Linked DNA regions of Neurospora crassa OR74A. The protein of the gene in region 1 binds, or shares a complex with, the protein of each later gene. Links are inferred from orthologs where the notes say so. Each region holds a gene or a part of one and is shown in the gene's direction. Other genes may lie near its edges.

Region 1 (3,695 bases):
AGTTGAAACTCTTTCCCATCACCAACAAGCAAAACTCATCTTTAAATCCAAGATGTACGCGCTCCCGCCCCCCAGCATTTGCTTGCCCGCCTACTGACATACAAGCAGTTCAAGATGAGAGCGAAGTGGAGAAAGAAGCGCGTGAGACGCCTTAAGCGCAAGAGAAGAAAGATGAGAGCGAGATCGTAAGTTTCACCATCGGCGCATCGACAGTTGATGCAGCTACAATCGCCACTCAGGAGCATATAAGCTGACTCGATCCCAGCAAATAAACGCCTCGCCTCACTCGACCCAATCAGCTCTTGACATTATCCTCTAAGCCATTAGACAACTTGGGCTCGGTGTCGACTCCTCCCCTCAGCGCGGAATGACGCCACATCGGTCGCTCTGAAACCTTGCGGTGATCAGGCGAACTCAGGGTTCCTACGGAACATGCACCCCTCGGGACATGCTGCACATCAAACTGTGGCACACATAGAACGGAACTGTTTGGTGGCGGATATGGTATTGGCTGGTTGCCTGTCAACTTCATGGTTGAGTAGCAACAAGGTGTTTACGGATCAACGCCGGTGGGAGCAAACTGTCTAGTTTGGAGACGCGAATTCGGGATACCCGTCGCAGCAACAATAAAGGCCGCTTCGCTTCATGATACACTTCTCTGCATCTGTGACAAACGGGACTGCATGTCTTGGATCAATTGTTTCTGTCGACAACATGGTCATCTGCCCTCGAACAGGTGACATGGCATTTGCACACAAAGGGAATACCAATTTTTGCAACATCAGTGAACATTTTCAACGACGGGGAAGGCAGTGGCCTGCATGCACGAGGGCATAGAAATCGCGTCCCAAGCCTTGGTTTGCCTTGTGACTTGGACTGAACCCCTCCATGTCTGGTTGATTGTTTTAGCACGCGTGCGGCTTGCTATTCTTCATCTCTCCAAGCAATTTAACAGCAAACCAATAGCAATTGATTTCATAGCATGAAGATTTCGCGCTTCGTAGTATTTCAACACAAATCATCAAACATATTGCATCGTCGTCATCAAATGTGGTGTGTCGATTGTAAAGGCGGTAACTGATACCGGACCCCGGCAGGCGGCAGAATTTTTTTCTGGCTGCGGGATCCACTCGGAAGTTCAGACAGCGACTCTCCAGCTGCATGATCCATTTGATTTGGCGGGACTTCACGACTCTACACTACCCCAGCACCTTTGTAGCCCGCAAACACCACCATGGGAAGCTCATCAGACAAGAAGCGCAAGAGCGCTGAGGATACAACACCCCAAATCAAGAAGAAGAAGGTCGACTCCGAGAAATCGTCCAAGTCGCCCAAGTTCATCAATGTCGGAGCTGTGAAGAGGCCGCAGTATGCGCCTCCGGTCGTGGGTAAGCACATGTTGATCGGCTGAAACCATGGCCGTCAAGTCCAATGGAGGAAGACTCTAACATGCGCTCCTAGCCGCGACCTCGGGACTCGCTCTCTCTTCGTCCATACAATTTCAAGCCTACGCCACACCAGCCGACAAGACCTCGAAGCGCAAGAAGAATGGCGCGCCCGCACAAGAGTTGCTGCTGCACTCTGCCAACCACCGGACGATGGACTACACAGCTCGCGAAGATAGGACAGGAGACTCGTCCGACCCATACCTGAAGCACTACATTGGCATCTTCAACCCCAAAACCGCCGAGGTTGAGATTGTAGAGGCGCGCAAGATGGTGCTCCGTGGCACAGTTAGGTCGCAGAAGGCGGTTGACGAGGCAATGGAAGAGAAGACTCAGAAACAGGTAAGCCTGGAAGTAGTGGTCAGGGGCATAAAACCAGACTGACGGTGCAACAGCAAATGATGGCCATGAGGAACGAGCTCGGCGAGGCATTCGGTACTAAGAAGGCGAAGAAGGCGATCCGCGACGTGACGGAGAACGCCATTACATCTCAAAAGGTTGGCCAGAGCGAGCTGGTGATGATGGACGCCATCAAGACCGCCACCAAGGACATGTCGACCAAGGAAGACCTTCAAGCCGCTGTCGACAACGCCCGACCGGTACCGCGCGGCAACTTCAATGCCGATGAAATCGCAGACGTCTACGTACCATCCCAAATTATCGGATCCGAGGTCCTGAACGCGATACCAGTGATGGATTGGCAGGAGAGCGTCAAGAACCTAGAAGACATCCAGGTACCTTCGCGCTTTGTCGCCAAGCGCGTTTCCAACGTAGCAAGCAGCGACGACGCGGTGCACAGATTGAGGGTACTGCGGTACCTCTTGTTCGTCATCATTTTCTGGAATGCCACCTCGCAAGGAAGGGAGCGTGGCACAAGAAGCATTGGTAAGAGGGATAAGCTGCGCGAGGTTATGGCACCAGCGCCCGAGATCGTGATTGAAAACATCCGCCGCAAGTTCTCGGACGGCGGAGTCATGCGCAAGACACACGTTGACCTTCTGATGACGCACTGCTGCGCATTTGCCGCCATCATCGACGGCTTCAGGGTCAACACGATTGACTTGAGAGAAGATCTGAAGCTGGAGCAGAAGCAGCTCAACCAATACTTTATCGAGATTGGAGCTCGCGTCAAGCAACAGAAGGTCGCTGACAAGATGGAGAACTTTGCCGTCCTGCAACTGCCTCTTCAGTTTCCCAAGATCAGACTGCCGGCACGGAAGAGGTAAACCACGCTTTGCTGAGCCGGACCCACGGCCACGGATCATATCATCAAGTTTAGTTGGATTGTGCGCATTGCACATCATCCACCCAGTCCTACATTGGACATCTTGGCGCTTACGTTTGGAAGTACCCTACGAAGTGCTGAGAAAAGGCATGCTTTTTGCGAGAGAAGCGATCATCCAGCTCAGTTGGAAGTCTGGCCGCTTCCAGCCTGTAACCACCATGGTGTGTTGTTGAGACACACCCAAGCGACACCCAGGCGCTGGCCAATCAAAATTCCAAGCGCCTAATCGAGAGGAGGCCATGACCTGTACCGCACTATTTGAGCATCTTGCCGAGGTATACATCAGTTATTTTGTGGTTCGGGCAGTAAAAGCTAGGCTAGAAAGCATATATCATTGTATAGACAATGTAGAGAATAGTCATGGAAATTGATGGGCCATAAGAAGTATGGCGGGAAGCTTGTCCCTCAGTCTTTATCAAGCTCTGAATGGGGTCAAAGAGATGACATTGAAATCTAGGAAAAGGGTCACCCCACAAAAAGCTGGCCCCCCTGGGTTCTGGTTCTCAAGTGCCTCAACGCTTGGCCAACCCCTTTGTGTTTGTTTACTACTGATATCCGCACGGACCCAATAACGAAGATGGGAACTGATGACGGGCTTCGAGATGAGTAATGGGGCAGAGATGATCATTAACCTGAACCAGCTAACGCCAGTTGATGTGCAAAATCAGAACCACGAACGTCAAGCTAACATATGTAACAGGAAGAATGTCCGCGGCAAATCCTACGCAGATATCAGAGCAGCCGACGGCCAGGCTAGAAGAAAACAAGATGAAAAGGTAGTTATATGGCTGCCCTGGATGGGCATCCGCCCAGGCGTCACCTTCTACCGTTGTCCCCTTTCGCTGGCCGCTGGCCGCTGGCCGCCCCGCGGTGTGAGACGCCGTCGGTGGTAGGTAGGGCTGGGCCGAAGCCGATCACCCCACGATGAAGTTCCTTCCCCTTGTGCCTCCCCAAAGCGTCCCCGA
Region 2 (3,539 bases), on another chromosome or scaffold:
GCTGTGAGGTGGTCAGTCCTGACTCTTCCTCACTTCCTCGTCAAAACGTACAACTCTGTGATATTCGCCCTCTCTATCAAGTGCTGGACTTGACTGAGTGTGTGCTGAACGCGTTTGCTTGGACCTGTGTTGTGAAGTTCTTGATTGAGGCCATCGAAGTCCTGAGTGTTGAGGAGGTCGATCAAGCTGGGGGCGGGCGACGCAGCTCCGATCGAGGGTGTCGGCAAGATACCTAGAGGTGAAGACATGAATGGTTAGGACTCGCGTGACGATATTGGAACGAAGAGGAGAGGAGATAGGCATGACGATATACGGGGGAGGAGCAAACATGGAGTGTCTCAGAGTTGGGATGGTTTGATCTTACTTGGGTCGAAAGGCACGATCGAGGTGAAAGGCGTATAGGGCAGAGCTTCGTAGAGGGCAAAAGGTCTCGTAAATGCCACAGCTTGTTGCGTCGATGAGGACGCCGGCGCGCCTTGGGAGCCATGGTAGTCTTGGGCGTTGGGATCCATGCTGTGGTGGTATGGATGCTGGTATGCCATTGTTGCTTGATCACTTTGACAGCAGCATTAGCGCATGGTGATTTGGATGGTTGGGTGTGTCCGGCGCAAATGTCGTCCCAGCCGGAGGGCACCGGCGGCAGCAGCAGCAGCAGCAGCAGCGGCGGCGGCAGTAGTAGACGCAGTACCACGTCAGGACCCGGAGCCCAAAGTTCAGACGAGAGCCGGAGGTGTTGTTGCCATGCGAACCGACTGCTTTCGGCGGAATCGTGTAGGCAGTCGCGGAGGAGGGGCCTTTGTCCCGCGGCGGGTCAGTGTTGGCCTGGGCGCGTCGGATGGACTAGTTGGAGAAGACAAGATGGATGATGGTGGTTGAGGAAAAGAGGAAATCACGCTGCAGGCACAGGTAGTGTGTCCATGTCGTCGCTTCGATGTGTTCGGACCAACAACTGAACAGAACCTGAGAGTGAGGGGACTGGTCAACAGACAGATAGAAATAGCTAAGGTAGGTGGGATCGGGCACGATTAAAGATAGAGAGGTAGAGGTGGGTAAGTACGTGTGGTCGATGTTGAGGTTCAAGGAAGGTGAAGTTCAGGTACTGTACCCAAATTGGAACTCAAGGGAAGGAAAGTCCAATGGATCCAAATGTATGTTTCCCTTCCCCAGATTTGATCCGCAAAGCAGGGCGGGCACTGGGCAGGCACGGGCAACGCACAACGCCAACACGGGAAACAGCCCTGTGAGCTTGGTGGGCACGGCGCGCGGTCACGCTACTTACTGTAATTCGAGTCCCCGAACCCCGGCCGGTACTGCACAGGTAGGTAGCTAGCACCTGCCATGCCGTGCCGTGGCCGTCCCGTACTTGCCCAGCTACACTACCTACCTACCTAACCCCAGGCGTGTTGGCGCGCTCGGTCGTGCTTGCCGCGTCTCCATGTCTGGCTTGCAATTTACGAATTCAACTTGAACCCAACTCAGCGCCAGAAACACGCGGCCTGCGCTGGATATGGGGCCTTGGGGGGGCAGATTCCCTTGGTCCCACCTGCCGTGTCATCAGCGTGGATGGATGGTTCCCTTGTTGCGGTTGTGCCTTCCGCCGTCACTCGTCATCGCCCATGCTAAAGTACCTACGTCTAGGTGCCTGTAGCCTGCCCCGGCTTTCATTGCTCGCTGCCAAGCAAGTTAGGTTGCCTGCCAGGAAGCAAGCCAGGAGGGTCCCCCAGTGGAATTTTCCATTGCGCGCCCAATCAATTGCCATGGTTTTGCCGTGCCATTGATCGTCTCCATGCAGGCCCGTTGTAAATCTTGAAGTCCGCCGGTGTTTACTGCGAGAACGAAACAACAGAAAACTTCAAGTTAACCGAACCGCCGACATCGATCAGACAACCTACAGTACCTTGACCACCGTTCCGGCACAAACCAAGAAGAAACAACAATGGCCGCCATCGGATCCCTCATTTTCTGCACAGACTGCGGCAACCTCTTGCCCGTCTCCAAGGGCAGCGAAAAGAACATTCTTCACTGTGAATGCTGCGGTGCCGAAAACAGAGGTGCGCATTCAATTCACTTTACCCAGTCAATATCCTCCAGAAGACGGTGTTCAAGAAGAAGCTTTATTTCATCCGAGGATTGCAACTTGAACAAACTGACCATCTTTCTTGGTTTCATTCTAGATCGTCCCTCCAGAACCGTCGTGACCAAGTCCAAGCCGTCCGATTTCCCCTCGCTTTTGCGCCAGAAGCTGGATATCGTCCAGACCGTCGTAAGGCACGAGCTCAACACGGAGAGAATCGACTCCAACACAGAATGCCCCAAGTGCGGCAAGCGCGGTATCCGTTACTCGGAAGTTCAGCAGAGAAGTGCCGACGAAGGCTCAACAATTCTGTACAACTGCGACTGCGGAGAGAGGTATGATGCGACACCGCCGGACGGTTATTATAGCTGTGGTTTGCTTTGTGCTAATTCGAGGTACAACACAGATGGTCGGTTAACAACTGAGTGCAAAGAAGATTGCTGCAATTGGATTTACAAAATTGGGAATGCTGTTTGGGTCGCATTGGTTTGGTTTGGATCCAACGACATATGGGACAGCTTACTAGCACCAGCATTGGCAAGCCGAGCTTTAGTAACGACGGCTTTCTTTGCCTTGTTACAACTACTACAACTACAACAACGATACCCCTTCTTTTTGTCAGGACCGACGATCAGTCGCATTGGTATAATCCTGAGAGAGAGAGAAAGACGCATAAACTTTTTGAAATACCCTTCCATCCATCCATCCATGATTCGCCCCAGAAAAGAAAAAGAAACAAGCAATCAACGAACGCAATCAACGAACCAACAAGAGAAACTCAAAGTCCCATCTTTTACGACGCCTTGCTAGCAACCTCGGGTATCAACGCGTACTCAGCCTGGCCGCTCTGCTCAAACTCGGCCATATCCAGCGCAACAATCACACTCTCGCGAACGACCTTCTCCTTGTCATGGAGGAACTTGAGCAGCGTCTCCTCGACCCCTTCCTCATCACCCAGACTGCCCAAAGCCTCGGCCGCCTCGTGACGGACCATGCTGACCTCGTCGAGGTTGCTGAGGGCCTCGGTCAGGGCCGGGATGGAAGCCGGGTGCGACAGCTGTCCAAACACAAAGGCGATCTCGTGGCGGAACAAGGCGGACTCGTCCTTGAGACCCTTGGCCAGGGCCAGGATGGCGGGAACGGCAGTCGGCAGGTCGGGAGGGGAGGCCAGGTCGCGGAGGGCGAACATGGCGCGGTATCTCTTGAAGAGGGGGAGCGAAGTGTCTAGGAGTTTCTTCTCGAGCGTCTCGACCGTTTGCTTCTCGTCGTCTTCGGGCATGGGAGGGGCGGGATCAACCGAGGCAAAGTCACTAGAAGTAGTAGTTTTCTGCGGTTAGCACACCAATGGAAAGAATGCCAGAACAGAAATATGATGTTGTCAATGTCAATGTACCTCTGGCGCAACTTCTCCTGCTTCCTCTCCTCCGAATTCTCCCACTCTATCCTATCAATCGCAATCTCGCAC

What was found. The genes of interacting proteins can lie anywhere in the genome.
Region 2: NCU06485 (region 1) and NCU05251 share a complex: the UniProt entries of both Saccharomyces cerevisiae proteins name them as parts of the RNA polymerase I (Pol I) complex. The link is inferred for Neurospora crassa OR74A from reciprocal best matches to the Saccharomyces cerevisiae genes RPA49 and RPA12.

Annotation. Positions count from the first base shown.
Region 1 is NC_026503.1:1,582,178-1,585,872, reverse strand, and holds NCU06485 (hypothetical protein), read left to right. Parts: upstream 1-1,161; 5' UTR 1,162-1,234; coding exon 1,235-1,388; intron 1,389-1,461; coding exon 1,462-1,787; intron 1,788-1,840; coding exon 1,841-2,671; 3' UTR 2,672-3,195; downstream 3,196-3,695. UniProt on the Saccharomyces cerevisiae protein: DNA-dependent RNA polymerases catalyze the transcription of DNA into RNA using the four ribonucleoside triphosphates as substrates. Component of RNA polymerase I (Pol I) which synthesizes ribosomal RNA precursors.
Region 2 is NC_026504.1:5,596,174-5,599,712, reverse strand, and holds NCU05251 (DNA-directed RNA polymerase I polypeptide), read left to right. Parts: upstream 1-1,397; 5' UTR 1,398-1,936; coding exon 1,937-2,051; intron 2,052-2,174; coding exon 2,175-2,409; intron 2,410-2,480; coding exon 2,481-2,499; 3' UTR 2,500-2,867; downstream 2,868-3,539. Other genes in the region: NCU05250 (hypothetical protein), read right to left, coding at 1-1, 52-232, 365-542; NCU05252 (deoxyhypusine hydroxylase), read right to left, coding at 2,868-3,384, 3,468-3,539. UniProt on the Saccharomyces cerevisiae protein: DNA-dependent RNA polymerases catalyze the transcription of DNA into RNA using the four ribonucleoside triphosphates as substrates. Component of RNA polymerase I (Pol I) which synthesizes ribosomal RNA precursors.